Caenorhabditis elegans: one gene and its partner. The protein of the gene in region 1 purifies or fractionates together with the protein of each later gene. This does not show direct contact. Each region holds a gene or a part of one and is shown on either strand. Other genes may lie near its edges.

The links.
Region 2: the proteins of C01B9.1 (region 1) and rege-1 fractionate together in Caenorhabditis elegans (co-fractionation; one large-scale study listed by BioGRID). This does not show direct contact.

What each region holds. Positions count from the first base shown.
Region 1 is NC_003280.10:13,769,656-13,777,608, forward strand, and holds the start of C01B9.1 (DUF38 domain-containing protein), read left to right. Parts: upstream 1-1,919; 5' UTR 1,920-1,979; coding exon 1,980-2,035; intron 2,036-2,627; coding exon 2,628-3,234; intron 3,235-3,281; coding exon 3,282-3,556; intron 3,557-4,053; coding exon 4,054-4,759; intron 4,760-4,807; coding exon 4,808-5,079; intron 5,080-5,129; coding exon 5,130-5,808; intron 5,809-5,923; coding exon 5,924-6,175; intron 6,176-6,729; coding exon 6,730-6,776; intron 6,777-6,825; coding exon 6,826-7,516; intron 7,517-7,567; coding exon 7,568-7,822; intron 7,823-7,904; coding exon 7,905-7,953. Other genes in the region: C01B9.4 (Transcriptional regulator), read right to left, coding at 1,266-1,333, 1,385-1,454.
Region 2 is NC_003279.8:6,955,110-6,962,903, reverse strand, and holds the start of rege-1 (Endoribonuclease rege-1), read left to right. Parts: upstream 1-1,764; coding exon 1,765-2,015; intron 2,016-2,763; coding exon 2,764-2,828; intron 2,829-2,920; coding exon 2,921-3,045; intron 3,046-3,258; coding exon 3,259-3,530; intron 3,531-4,371; coding exon 4,372-4,476; intron 4,477-4,640; coding exon 4,641-4,727; intron 4,728-5,160; coding exon 5,161-5,337; intron 5,338-6,205; coding exon 6,206-6,432; intron 6,433-6,973; coding exon 6,974-7,219; intron 7,220-7,782; coding exon 7,783-7,794. UniProt on the Caenorhabditis elegans protein: Endonuclease which binds to the 3'UTR of target mRNAs and induces degradation of the transcript.

The DNA.
Region 1 (7,953 bases):
AGCTTATTCCAACATTTATTAACATGGAAAGTTACGGATTGCCGAAGAAATTTGCTCCATAAATAAGTTGTATCCAATGTATGAATCCGAGCACGAGTTAGTCTAGAACCGGACGGCAATTGGGTTTATTGGCCGTTGTTATTATATTTCGCTTCGGAAACTTCTGGAGAAGCCTCACTGTTGTGACTTGGCCTCAGTAGAGGTCCGCCGCTCCAACTTTGCGGATTATAATTATCGGCAAGAATCGCCCACAATCCAGCGATAATCATCCGCCGGTAATTTACTCACACAATTCCGTTTGTTCGTTCTCTAATAATCATTCCACCATTTAAATTAATTAAATTAAATAATTATCATTTGAATTTGCCGCCAAGGATGCAAGCGCGCCATTGTACACATCGGAGTGTCGTAGCGCGCGCTGTTTATTCCCTTGCTCATATTAATTTCTGGCCTAAAATGTGGCCACTCTTCACTTCACTCTTCGTGCCCCTTCGTCACTGGCTGCGCGTCGCCGTTCTTCTCCCAAATATTCACTAAATATTCTCTACGTTTTTGCCTTGTTTATCCCAGCATAATGCTGCCCTGCTCAATAAACTTGGATTTTCGTCAAACTGTGTACTGTTATTAGCACCGCTCATCAATTCTCCCGTTCTGTCCGTCGTCTTCTTGTCACTCCGAGGCTCTGGCTGCCATCTCGGACCGGAGTGTCAACACTCACCGTGCGAAAAATGACAAAAAAACACAATTGCCGCGTAGCTCCACAGGCTCGCCACAGAAACAAATTTGACAAAAGAGCAACAAAGCGATGCCGCCTTCACAGGCAGATATCACATCACTACCCCCTCCCACTCTCTTCACAGAAATAAATTGGAATGAACCTCACAAAACGTCCTAAAGGTTGGAGATTAAATTGTAGACATACCAACTATACTGCTAAATTAGAATACTTGGTACATCGTTAATGCTACTTATGTACATCCATTTCTCTGTCAGTACGGAGATGATATCTGCAATCTGGCTTGCACAAAACAAATTGGACAAAAGAGAGATGTCAACAAAGCGACGCCGACTCCATAAAAATCACAGATAAAATACTGCAACTCCGTCCACTGAATTATGTTTTTGTGAATTATGCTTTGATGGGGCCTCTCTCTTTTCATATGTTTTTGTGTAACGTGTCATTTTTATGTGATAAATTTTTTATTTTTGAAAAATTCCTATTCAGTTCTTGTTGTATTATGAAAACAGATAATACAAAATGAATGTCAGAAAATCCAGAATAACATGTTTTTATTGGATACCTCCTTTGTCAGTGTTCCATATAAAAAGAGCCCTGTAAGAATGGAATAGTCACAATTCAGTCAACATGAATTTCATCGTCTACCTTCTTGTCCTTGTCGCCTTTGCTGCAAACTTCGGATTCTGTCAATGACGTCCATTTCCTGCTCCAGCTCCTGTAAGTTTTCAAAGAAATATTATATTCGAGAAACTGATCATATTTCGTATAACACTGAAAACTTCAAGAAAATTCAGAAATTCTTATTTTCCAGAGAGTGTGAAGAAGCAAGCACAATATGCATTCAATGATGGGATTGAAACTTCGTTCAACAGTGCCCAATGAAGCGAGTCTAACGATCCTTCTAAGGATTAATTCGGCCATGTTTGTTTGAGAATAAATATATTGAACATTGGGAATCTTTTTTTTTTAGTTCAATCAATTGATCTTTTGTGGAATTTTGTTAGCAATAGTGTGATTCAGTTAAAAAATATTCGTTTAGTTGAAATTAAACTGCAGACTTCACATCAAAAAATGTTTTTTTTTGTGTACACTTGATTTATTGCAATCAAAGACTGAGTCCCATTTTGTTATCAGAGGAAATTCCATGTATTTAACGGAAAGAGTGATAAGGAAAATTCACTCACAAAAACTCACTCGTCGGAAAATATTCATACTACTACAAGCATACACATTTCGAAAAATGAATGATTTGTGTAAAAAACTGTCCCATTTATTTTCAAAGCCGAAAAACAAAACGTGAGTTTTAAATTGACCGGAAAATTGAGAGTTCAGTTTTGTTAGATTTTTTAAATATATGTTTTTGGTATTTATTAAGTTGTCAAGTATTAAGTACTATTGAGCATTAGATTAAAGTTACTGTTAGTTGGATTTTACCTGAAAAATTATTTTACAAAACCTCAAATTTTCGGAAAAAAGTCCGAAATTTTCGGAAATTTGGCAGTGTGTCAAAATTTTAATTTTGATTTTTAAATCATTCTCAGTGATATCACAGAGAAAAAAAACAAATGCATTCATTGAAAAAAAAACCATTGATTTTGGCTAATTTTTCAAGCTCTTTTTTCTCGGAACGACTCTTTTTCAAAGTTCCAGCGCAAATTTTTTATAGCTATGGAAAAATAGTTTTTAACGTATCAAAACGTTTTTTTTCATAGTAAAAAAATGAAATTGACAAAACAAAAATGAAATTTTCAATAATTGTATTTTACATATTAAAACTTTGTGCTGTAAATTGAAATTAAAGTGTGGCACAAAAAAATGGGCTTAGTTTCAAGTGGGTTTTTTTCCAGTGGGGGATGTGAACTTTAATTTGATTTTTTTTAAACCTCAGATCATCTAAAATCTTGACCTCCACATTGAATTCCTTTCAAAACTCCAGTAGAATTGGAATCCGAATCATCGTTTCAAATACCGTCCGATTGACCATCTACACCCGAAAAAGCCCTCCCAGGATAACAATTAACTTTCAAGGCATTACCGCCTCCATGAAATATGTAAATGCGATTCTAGCAATCGAAATTCCAATTTCTTATATATCTATCCAGTTTGTTAACAGAGAGTGTTGGAAGTCACTAAATCCCGAAGTAGTGTCTCATGTCGGGATGCTACTATTAGAGGAAATGGCCAAAATGCTGAAATCAAGCAATGTGAAGCTAAAAAAGTTTTCTGTACGTCTTTTCGAGACGCCATCAGACCCTATCGAGAAAATTCTATCAGATTTGGATGTGAAAGTTTTGGTATTGAAGACAGACTGGGATGAAGATGATGAAGATAAGAAGCCTATTCAAAAAGTCGAATCGGATAACTGGAAAAAGGTCAGAGCGCTGTACATCAACTCGTTCTATTTGGCGGGTCCTGTTCAACAAATCTCACATTTGTCGACTGCCTCATGCTTTTTCAATTCGATCAATTTCGACGATTTGGTCTTCTTGAAAAATGTTAGTTTTAAATCAATCTGGTTTCCTCATTTAATACAAAATTACAGCATTTCCTCGATGCACCACATGCACGTGAATACGTCATTCACTATCGAGAATTCGATGGGCATCCTATGATGGTACTTCCTCAAAAAATGGGATTAATTACAATCGTGGGAGATCCAATCGATGTAGATCATTGTGAAACTGGAGAAGACATCTACAAATTTCACGTGATGGACGAGAATCACGATATTTCAATTAATTTGTGTATGAGGGAATACGCAAATTTGCATTCGATTACTTTTACACGGGAGCCGCCTTTGGTGAAGCAGTTTTCGGAGTGAGGTTTTGAATAATCGCCTTTGGGTTTTGAAAAGAATGTATATGAACGCCTGCCGCCCACGCCTCGCGCCTCGAGCCGCGCCTTTTGTATAGTGCGACGCGAAACCCAAAACGTGTCGGCCGCGGCAAGAGAACCATCTTTCGCACTATTTGATGTGAACACCAAACCTGTGCCTTTTTTCCATATGCAGAAATGAGGCAAGAGGCCGGCGTGAGGCCGGCAAGTTGGAGGCAGGTGTCAGGTCCTGAAACCGCGCCTGCCTCTTATGGAAGCCTTCGTGTCTGGTTACCAAAAAAATATGCGTAGTAGGGCTTCACATAGACGTCTGCAGGAATTTTAAAAAGAATATGCGTTTTTTTCTGGAAACAGTCTGAGCAGGCTTGTGTAATTTGTGTAGTTGGTGTAGACAGTTACTTGTTTGATTTCTGGAAACAGTCTGTTAGGGCAGTGCAAAACTTTGCGGTTTCTTTGCCTCTTAATCATTATCATTTCAGCCCAATCGTGACAAACTACCACTCGTCGACTGTCGAGTTACTCGAAAACAGCCAGAACATTAGTGTCTTTCTAGTGATACTGAGAGACTCCATTATGTTTCAACTCACTTATCAACCGAAAACTAGCTTGGAAAAACAAAATGCCATCTTCGATTATAAAAAGCAGATGTCTGGATGCTCTGTGAATTCTGAGAATAGAACTGAATTGGGTGTGAATCTAGATTATCGTACTCTTTTTTGCACCCACTTGAAGTACTTATTAGACAGAATTGGATATTGTACATTTGCAGCATTTTCCTTTGTGTTCTACGGAAAATTAATGAGTGAATATGTTGTAGGAGATGAAAGTGATATGTTACACATGGAGTTTTTCAATGTATTCGATAAATTTGTTCAACCAAATTCCATAAAAGCATTGGTATTTAGTGTCAATTTCAAATTTCATCCTCTCGCTATCAATTACATCACCTCGGTACTCTCATTCTTCCAACCCGGCCCGCTTCAATCTATCATGCTTGACATGGATAAAAGGACAACCGCTATGAACTTGGAAAGTATTGTGCGCCTGGAACAATGGGAACAAGCTGCTATGATTTTGATGTCGGATATTACTGTGAAATTCGCAAGGAGGGATTTTGGGCATTTGGGCATTGCAAAAATCATAGCCCACCCGATTTCTTTCGAAGATCTAACGTTTCTAAAAGAGGTTACTCACTGGGAGGTTTTTTATTGTTGGAAAATGTAAGCTTTTCAGCATTTTATCACTTCTGACATCCCTCAGATGTTTGAGATTAAGTATCTCCGTTCCTCTGAGATCAATGTCAATGTTGCTCAGAAACTTCTAGAGACATTTGGACCACCAGCTCACGAAGAGTATGCAAGTGCAGAGCAATGTGATCGAATTTGGTGCCTTCCGATTTCAAATTCCGAGAATTGTGTTCTCGTCAAACACATATTCTGTCGTCGGCGAGAGTACGGCTCATTCAACTTCAGTCGACGCTTGGCATCTGAGTTGGAGTTGATGAGGTGAGTTGTGGCACTTTCAATACATAGTACTGCAAAATAGTTTTTTTCAGCACCACATCTCCCAACCGATCTCAAATACTCTCTGCACTCGTCAAGAAAATAGAAGCGTTGAAAAACTGGTCTCTCAAAGTTAGAATAGATGAGGGCCAGGTTCAGATCAACTTCACTCACTCACCCTGGCCGACCAAAAGCATCTGCTATAAAAATCACAGAGAAGGATGTCTGTTGGAGTATGAATTTCACAAAGTAGTGTTTGATGAGAACTTTGCCGTTGCATCCTGTGATGATCTGAACTTCGTAATGAATAGTGTGCAAGAGTTTGACAAGTTTGAAATTGAATCTGGCGAGATCTCAGCGCCAAATCGAGACGATGATCCAAATAACTCTAATGAAACAATTTTACCATATTGGTTGACTAATCTGAAAACACATTTGAAGCAAAGATCACAGATGCTTACTGTCGGAACTTTTAAGCTGAACTTGAAAAATCACGCTCCAAACAATCGGTTCTTTTCAATCCTGTCACTGATTGCCTCGGAAACTATCGAGTTGAAGACTACTGTCCAGGAAGCAAAGTTAAAGTTGAAAGAAATTAATGTAACAAATGCCAAGGAGTTTAAAGCAGAATCGTTTCAATTATCCGTTCCTATCAAATTGTTGCTTCATTTTTCAAATGTGTCTGCGACGTTACAGACAGTTTCAATTCAAGATCTCAATATATTGAAAGAGGTGAGGGAAACTTTTTTCTATCACAGGTAAAGGTTCGGTCTGTCAAGAAATCATAAACACGTGCACGCCCATTTCTTGGCTGTTCATTCTGCAACCAAAACATTCCAATTTTCAGCACTTCCTGAATTCTCCAATCAAGCTCAAGTTTATCATCAACGACACTCTTTCAAAAAATGAAGATGTGAATGTTACAAACCTACTGGAAATGTTTGGAGCACCCGACCGTATTGAAGATGTCCTCATGGAATGGCGTATTCGGACTCTTAGCACAAAATTCGAGCTAGTCATAGAATACCGCCCATGTGTTCCCATGGGTCAATCATTCACTTTTGAAAGTTTTGCGATTGCTGACACCGTATTTGAAAAGGTTACTGTTTGAACTCCAGTATGGTCGGGGTACTGTAGTACTGACACCTCACAAACTCCTGAATTCACTAGAACTAGGTTTGCTGGGAAAGAATTTTTTGCTATTCTGTTGCATCTATGGTAATTTTTTTAGTTATATTTTTTAGCAAAACTGCTATCCTGGTATTAGCGAGGTTCCAGCAAGCGCGCTCCAATAATTATAAGAGGCCGTGCATTTTGTTATTTCAAAATTCCCGTGCGGTGTCGGTCGCTGAAACTTTCTCATGGTCGATTTTGTGAAAATGATTATTTTTTAAAAGTGTAAAATTTTGTGAGTGCTTGATAGTTAAAAAGCGCCACGAAGCCAAAAGCATGGTGTGTTTTCACCACATAGTGCGAAAGGTGGTTCTTTCGCCGCAGCCGGCACTGTACAGGAGACGCGGCTCTCGGCGTGAAACATGCGGAGGTCACCTACAAGACAGGCGTTTCGGCGCCTGCATGGGTGCCCTACACTTGACTGTAAAATTTGCATTTCCGAAAAAAATCTTACTTAAATCGATAATTTTTAATTTTCAGGAACATCAAACACTCGGTCCAATCAATAACCTAGCCATGTTGCCACTGTAAGCCCTAAGTTTTGTAAACCCCCGCCAACTTTTGCCTTTCTTCCAGCTCCTTCACTACTCGATCCGTAATTCTCCCCTCCACATTGAATTCCATGAAAGGCGCACAACTCACTGAGATTTACATGTCAGTTGAACGTATCCGAATTACAATATTCTTCCGTTATTTTCTCCATAATCATGAAAATTGTCGAACCCACGAGTATGAACGTTATCAGAAAGGGTGCCGGGTTAAATGTGATCTTCAAGAAGAGGTAGCTCGACACCAAGACTTTATCTCGTTGGCGATTTCCCATTTGTCAGTGATTCTGAAGAGTCACGATAACATGGTTCGATTCAAAATTTATCTACGCGATGATTCTGAAGAGGACGACGTTGATAAAAAGGTTCTTCAAGCCCTTGTTGAAGCGCTTAAAGAACGACAGAACAAGCTGAGAATTAAATATTTAGAGGTATATTTCTGGAAGCGACCGCTCATCGAACTCGCCGCCTCGCTATTGTCATGGTGCGACCCCATAGATCTTATAAGAATTGTTTTGGAAGCACCATTTTTCAAAGGCATAGTCATCGAACCGGAAGCTTGTGAACTACTTGTCAACCTAGAACAGTGGAAAAGTGTGAGACAGATGATGTGTCCGTCGCTCGTGTTTCCAACTGCACTGTCAAGTTTTGAGCATTTTTCTGCCGCTAACTTCACTGTTCCAACAATCAGTTTGGAGCAGTTGAATTCATTGAAAAAGGTAGGCTTCCAATTTTGTTTGAGCACCTTTCTAACTAAAGTTAAACTTCAGCACTTTATGAATTTCACCACTGAATTCATATTTGCCATTCACTTTCTCGCTTACAAAGATCAAGACATCAATAATATGGGAGAAAGAGGACCGAAACCCCAAGACGTTTTTTGTACACCTTCTCAGGCTGAATACGGAAATGAAGAATTAGGAAATAAACGGTGGTATTTGCCAATGGAAAATACGGAGTATCAACTCGATATAATTTATCTACGTTGTGGAAGGCAAGGGGTTCCAGTGTATATTTTCAAGCGGGTTAGTTTTTTTCTCAATTTTTCTGAAGGTCTTCTACACCTCCAGGTTAACGATAATATAAAAAAATATGTGATTTTTATAGGAACCTCTCATAAAACTGCACCCACTAAGAAAAGCAGAAAAAGCGCCAC
Region 2 (7,794 bases), on another chromosome or scaffold:
CTAGTTTCTCATTTTTCTAGTGTAGTTTAGGCAATCCCTTCTGAAATTATAAGCACACTCCGTATCGTTTGTATTGTCTAATTGGAAATGCATTTTAAAGGTGTAAGATTTAGAATGATGAGAACACGTTAAACACAAATATCATGTTTATTTTAAGATCCAGATTATCTGAAATTGTCTGACATAGATTTAAAAAAGCATATATTTATTTTCATTTTCAACGTGAAAGTTTAGTCTCTAATTTTGAGATTCGGAAAAGCTGCACAAAACTTTCACGTTAAAAAATTAAAATTTAGTTGAACAACTTCCAAAATCCTATTTTATTATCACTTATGAGTGTTTTAACTGCCGCTATTTCATTTTTAAAACTCACTAGCAGTCAGTTGGATATGCTAAAAATTTGCAGAATAAATTATCAAACTGTTGGAAGTGATTAAAAATTTCAATTTTTGATAATTCAAGAAACATTTTGGCTTTGAAAATTTTAGACCTTTAATTCTAAATAATATTATTTATTCGCATTTTACTGATAATGTTGGAAAAAAGTTCAAAAAGCTTTGGAATTATAAGTGATATTTTTGATATGTTTTGTGTGTGCTGAAATGTTACCCGACTTAAACATTTGGTTTTTCAGATCTTTTTTAAGAATAAGTTCACCGCGAACTTTCTGGAATGCCTTGTGAAAAAAATATTCAGCCTGATGTCTAAACATTTTTTTCAATTTGGCATGAGCAAAAAACACGAATTGTTTAAATCAAAAATGGAAGTCATTAAACTTTTCCTCTGTTTCATGAAAAAAATCACAAAATTAATCTACGGAATCTAATTATCACAAACAATTTCCCTGATCAAAGAAATAACCTCATGTTTTTTTCCATAAGAAAACAAACAATTTCCTTCATTTTTTCTTTAATACTTCTCTCTTCTCCACCCCCGGATTTATTCCCTCTTTTCACAATTTGTATTCAACTGATATATCTAATATATATCTCTAATATTTCTCTCCTTCTTATTTTCTTTCTAGATAATCCCTTTTTTGAGTCTTTTTCAGATTGTTGATAATCCCTCCTCCTTCTATTTTGTTTTTCATTTATTGGTGTTTGTTCAAGATTTCCAATAAAAATAAATTTAGTTTAGGCTCGAAATTTTAAATAAGAGCTAAATATTTGAATCCAGAAATCAATTTTTCCGAATCAAAGTCCGAATTCGAGGAATTTTATCCAATATAAACTTTGTCCTGTGTCTTCTTCTTCTATCATTTTTGTGTCTTTTCCATTTTCTCTCGATTGCATTTTCAGACGGAACTCTACCATCATTTTCAACTGAAAAAGCTATAATCTTCTTATTTTGTGTTGACTTCTAAAAGGTTTTCCGTTTTAAAGTTCTAATGATAGGATGGGGACAAAAGACACAATTTAAAAGAATCTAAATTTTTCCAATGTTTTCCAGAGTATTGAGGAAGAGTTTTAGGGAATTTCTCAACAGGTGTGCTGAAAAAACTTAATTGGGACAATTCGCCAGTTTGGTTCACCAAAAAAAATTCCACGCACTTTTTTGATGAAAAAATTCACAACAATTGAGAAAGTTCAATACAAAAGGTACCTACTATTTCATATGAGCAGTGAAAAAAGTATAAGCCATCTATTTCGCCATCGTATTTCGAGCTAGTCAAATTCCTTGCTCTTATTGTTTTTACTCTCACTTACTTTTTCATTTCTCTTTCTCTCTCTCTCTCCCCCTCCGCCCAAACCACAAAATTTCAAGATGGATTCAACGGCTCGTGGCCACGCCCCTTTGTGTCGAACCAGCAACCAAAGAGGACTTGGAACACGTCTCAATCCATATTATCAATCAACTCCACATCAACCAATGGTACAATCAATGTCAAATCCAATTGGCTCCTACGGAGAACAAGGAAATGCTCAAATTATTGGAAGTTCTGGGCAGGTGCTTTCAACTGGACCACCGCCAGGATTGGCTCCAGTTCAATGCAATGATTTTGACTCTTGTTACAGGTTTGTTATGTTTTCAGATAAAGTGCAGAGAGAAAAAAATTTCAAAAAATTAATTTAGTCTGAAATTATTCAGTTGAAATCATGGGGAGAGATGGCTTGTTCTCGACAAATCTACGGAATTACATTTTAAGAAATGGTAATTCAAAATTAGTAAAAATACATATAAATATTCAACTGATTTGCAAATAATTTATACCTTCGAAGTTTTTGAAAAGGTTTTTAATTATGCTCTTGTTTTGGATGTTAAAATTCAATGACAAATTTATTTGGCCATCGTAAAAAATTTTTTCGCAGAGTTCCTGCAAAAAAGCTTCGAGAAGTTGAACCTTGCATTTCTGTTTGTAAATCGTCACCCACATGCACTTCCGTTAAAAATAATTTTCAGTACAAATGATGGCAAATTAAATTAAGAGTATAAGGAAAAAATATGATAAAACCTCTGTAAATGACTGAAAATAACTATCCCGGAAACAGACAACGTGCATTTCTTTCGCATATTTTTCATATTTTTTCTTTTTTTCCATCAGCCGGAAATTTTGTTCTCATTTTTCTGTAGGTCTTCTTTTTTCAATCCTTGGAGGTTTTTTTTGCAGTTTAATTTGTTTTCAGAGAAATAACTTTTGAGCTTTCTAGTCACTTTTTATGAGTTTGGATTGAGTTTGGATGCACATAAATATTTATAACATTAAACATTTCAGCAATCTCAAAAAAGTTTCAATTCAAATTTTTTACCATTGTTTTTTTGCAGTTCTTGCGACGATATATCCCATCCATCACTGAGTCGCGAATCATCGGATCCAAGCAAAATTGATGGTTAGTAGGAAACAATTATTTTAGATAATTTCAAAGATCCCTGATTTTTATTTAATATTTTCAACAAAATTATATTTGCTCTTAAATCTCAGATGACCAAACAGCGCCAATGATAAGATATCCAGCACCGGAAGTTGTTGAATTCGCCACGAAATTGGGATATTCGACAGAGCAACTAAGTCACGTATTGAATACAATTGGTGTTGATTCTAGAATGGTTCGTGTTTATTACTTCAGAAAAATATTTAAATTAGAACATGTTTGTGACTTTAAAAACACTATACGACAATTTAAGGAAAATAGTTTTCAGATTTTCTAGTAAATTGCGAAAAGTTGGAAATGTCTCACCAAAAATCAAAAATAACAGTATTCAATTGAAATTTCATAAATTTGATTCGAATATTGTCAAACAAAACTAAAAAAATTTCAGGACGACGTGCTCTCAGAACTTGTAAAAATGGGTCTTCCTGGTGGTAAACCAGAAAATTCTGGAAAATCTGGAAGTAGAAATTCTCCTGAACCAATCATGACTTCCTCTGCATCGTCTTCTTCTGCCTCATCATCGTCAAGTCATCGTCCTATTAGACAATCAGTATCAATTGCCACGTCATCACCTGCCACGTCATCATCCACACCATCCAAATACAACCCGGATCCAAGTTTGAGAGCTGTGGTTGTTGATGGATCAAATGTTGCAATGTTGTAAGTTGACGCAAAACAAATGGTAGAAAAATACATAGATAGAAACGGAGATTTTGAATAAGCAGTGGAGATATTCACGATATATTTTAAGTACAAAAGAACTAAAACATTCCAAAAAATAACTGACAATTACAATCTAATCATTACCAGAAAAATAAGAAGATTACGGTAGTTTCTGGTTTAACATAAAACAATGACAGACTACGTGTCTTCTTCTCATAACTAAGTGACCACAGACCTTGTCACCCGCCTACCGGAAGTATTTGTCTATGTTTCTCTCACATTCTCTCTTGTTTTTATAAACTCTCTCATCTTTTCTACAAAAATGAGCTCTGTTCCTGTGCCGTTTCTCCCACTGTGTCCGCCGCCGCTCCTGCTTCCGCGCCAAAATAGTCTGTTATTTTTGCCAACTTTCTTCTTGCCTTGCTCCGATCGTTTTTGGCTTCTATATGTCTCTCATAATCCTATGTGCTCTCTCACTTCTTATGAGCAAATATGAAAGTTTTGCGCCCTCTCTTTCTCCGGATTGACTGCTTTCCGCAGCGGATGCCCTGGGAAGAAACATAATGTCAATAGAGGGATAGAGAGAGGGAGACAGAGAGAAACGGAAAACGGCACCCTCTCTTGATCATCATGATTTATTCACCATTTTCCATGATTCTCAGAATTTTTCATGATTTTTCTGTTTTTTTGTTGTTGAAAAGTATATCTTATCTAGTTGTTAAAATGTTGGTTTTTACCATTAAAACAGTCTTTACTAAACTTTACAAAACAGTTCAAAACTTGTCGATCTAATTATTTTAATCTATTCTATTTACCCATTTGAAATAATCATTTTCAGACACGGCCGTAAAGAAGTCTTCTCGTGTGCAGGTCTCCGCGAGTGTCTCAATTATTTTCTGGAACGGGGACATCCGGAAGTTCTCATATTTATTCCCCAATACAGGTAAGTGTGAAAACGACACTTGAAATTTCTGTAATACAGTAGTCTACTGTAGTTTCCATAAAAATTTACGGTACGTGATTGTAAGTCATTTGGTTTTTAATGTTAATTTGACCATGGCTACGGAATTATTAAATGAATATAATTCTGAAAATATGAGTTTTCAGAAGAGAACAACCACGATCGGATAGCCCTATCACAGATCAACATATCCTACAGGAAATCGAACGACATATCATTTATACTCCTTCTAGGTGCGCCTTACGACATTTAAATACTTAGTGTATAATTTACACTCAAAAAAACTTGATCCAGAAACTGGCAAATCTGGAGTTAAACTTGGACAAAACTTGGTTTATGACAAACTCGAGTTGAGTCCAAATCCCAACTCTTGTCAATGACTTACCCTTGTTTAAAAAAAACATAGGAAAAGTTTGGATCGAGTCAAAAATAGTTGCAGCTTAAACCAAGTCTTCTCAAAATTGTCTCCCACATTTGCCAGAGCTTTTCCAGCTTCTGCACCAATTTAATTTTTTGGTCACATTTTTAGTTGTTTTACTTGAGAATATCATCGGTAAGAATTGGTCTGAGCTCAATTTGTGAACTTTACGTTAGCAATTTTCAATGTCTTGTTAAAAATTGAGTATCATAGTTTCCATATTAAATAGAATATGTAATAATTTTCAGAAACGTTAACGGTCGTCGAGTTGTCTGCCACGACGATAGATATATTCTCAGGACTGCTGAACTAAAAGACGCTGTAATTGTGTCAAACGACGAATATCGTGACTTGACACGTGAGAATCCTGCGTGGAGGAAGATTGTCGAGGAGAGACTTCTTATGTTCACTTTTGTTGAGGATAAGTCAGTTTTTTAAATTACTTTGAGATAATATTGTTTAATAGACAAATAAAATGCCATAAAATCTTATGTTAATTGACTATGTATTAGATATGGAATAGATTGAATGGGGGATTTGCTGTAAAATTAGCGGAACAATTCATAATTTTGAACCCAATCACCCAAAGTAAAACTGAATTTTCTCCAAAACGAGAACTGTAGTCTCAGGACCAATCAGCAAATATCTCCATCCACATTTGAATCAATCAGTGAAGTTCCACTTCGTACACTTTTATAAATTGGTTCAGAAGTGGGGATAAGCTGTTCACTGATTGGTCTTGCAATTCTTATTGTGGAGGGAATGCAAACATAGAGTATGAACTAGGAGAGAATCACGCTTCGAAAATTGCATGATTTCATTTTGTTGTAAAATATCTAAATGTGTGAACTATTTCAGGTTTTTTTTTGAAGTGCCATTCACTCTATTTCACATTTAAATGCCTACCTAATTATCGTACTAACCGATTCGCCGGAAAAAATAAATAAAAATTTTCGAGATCATGAAATCAACAAATAAACATTCTGCTAATTGAGGTGTTCATCCGTGTTGTTTTGAGGTGTTTCTTGTGTTTTCTATTCGTTCTCCTCTATTCAAATATTTGCACTTCGACCTGTTTTCCTGCACTTTTTCCTCTTTTTTTCCGAAAAGTCTGTGAACAAAAGAGCAAAGCTCTGATTGCACTTTTTCTCACTTTTGGAGACAAAAAACATCAAGACTTTTGTGTTTTTTTTTTAAGTTAGTTTATAGAATAATAAACTTTAGAAGCTAGGATTGTTCTAAAAAAATTCAATTTTTTTAAATATCGTCTTTCCTAATACTCAGTAAATTCAGATTTATGCCACCGGATGATCCATCAGGTCGTCATGGTCCGCGAATCGAAAGCTTCTTATCAAAAGTTCCTGTAGTTTCATCAAATCCTCTTGTGTGTCCATATGCAAGAAAATGTACATATGGGAATAAATGCAAATTTTATCATCCAGAAAGAGCAAATGGGCAACATATGAGTGTAACTGAGCGATTGATGAAAGAGAATCAACAGAAAAAATCATTGGGTGCAGGTATGTTTTGGTTGAATTAAACCCCACCCGTATAATTTTATATTTTTAATTTTAAAATTTTAAAATTTTAAAATTTGTTTTTCAAATTTGTCAGATTTCAAATTTTCAACCCTAATTTTTCTCCATTCTTTTTGGCTGTTTGTAACATTTTGTGCCAAAAACAGAGTACTTTAACAGCTCAAAAACCACTAGAAAATCGTTTTGAATTGATGATATGAAAACATTTTTTGACAGAAAATTTCATGAAAGTTTAGGTTTGCTTTAAAAAAAATTATATTTCCTAAAAGGGACTCAAAGTGCTTGTCAAATGTTGAAACCCTCAAAAACTCATTTTCGTGGCTAAAAAAATGTCGTTTAGGCAAATTCAGCGTAAAATAGAACTTGAATAATTTTTGATTGAATTCGGAGGTACAGACTTGAGTTTCGCCCCACAAATTGTTGTGGTCTCTGTTCAATTGATTGACTTGTTTTCCTTATTAAATTGATAAACACACACCTAAAACTGATCTTGTATATTCCTAAATTAAATTCAAAATTTCAGTAAAATCGATGCAATACGAAATGTTCAAGAACAAGCATGCAGCTTTATCACGTACTCAATCATTGAATGTTGTTAAACAACTCACAGAAAACATGTCCCAACTTCCTCCAACTCCTGAGAGCCCCATGCAAATGCCACGTCAGCATATGCAATTACAACAAGCAAATAGTGCTCCATGGCAACAACATACAGTTGTTCAAAGACATGGATCATCTCCATTAACACCCGTAAATCGGCAAATGAATGGTTAGTTTTATGATTTCAAAAAATTAAAGTGCATTTATTTTCTTACCAAAATTATAAAATTTATGTAATTAATTAATACACTTACACTTACTTTCAACTTGCAGTTTTTTCAAAAACCTATCTTCAAAAAAATATAGAATCATGTTTGAACAAAATCGTGCACTACCTAGTTTATATTACGAAACCATCAGTTCATGAGAATGCCTACTTTCTGGCGCGAAAATAGCGGCAAAGAGAGATTTAGGTGCCTTCGCTACGAGATATTCCCGCGCCAAAACGTCAGGCATTCTCATGATCTCATGGTTTCTTAATAGCAATTTTCCTTCCCAAAGATACGGTAGCCGGTCTTGAAATATTTTCAAATGAACGTTGCGCAATAAAATCTAGGTCTTTAATCAGTACAGCAACCCTATTCCCGCTGCTAAAAAACACATGAATATCTGGATAACATTTGTAAAATAACAGGGGATGAATTGCTGTACAAACACATCGCCACCACCGTTTGAAAAAATATTATTCGTGTCGAGACCAACTTTACAAAACCTAAACAATTATTATTTCAGTTTATCCAGATA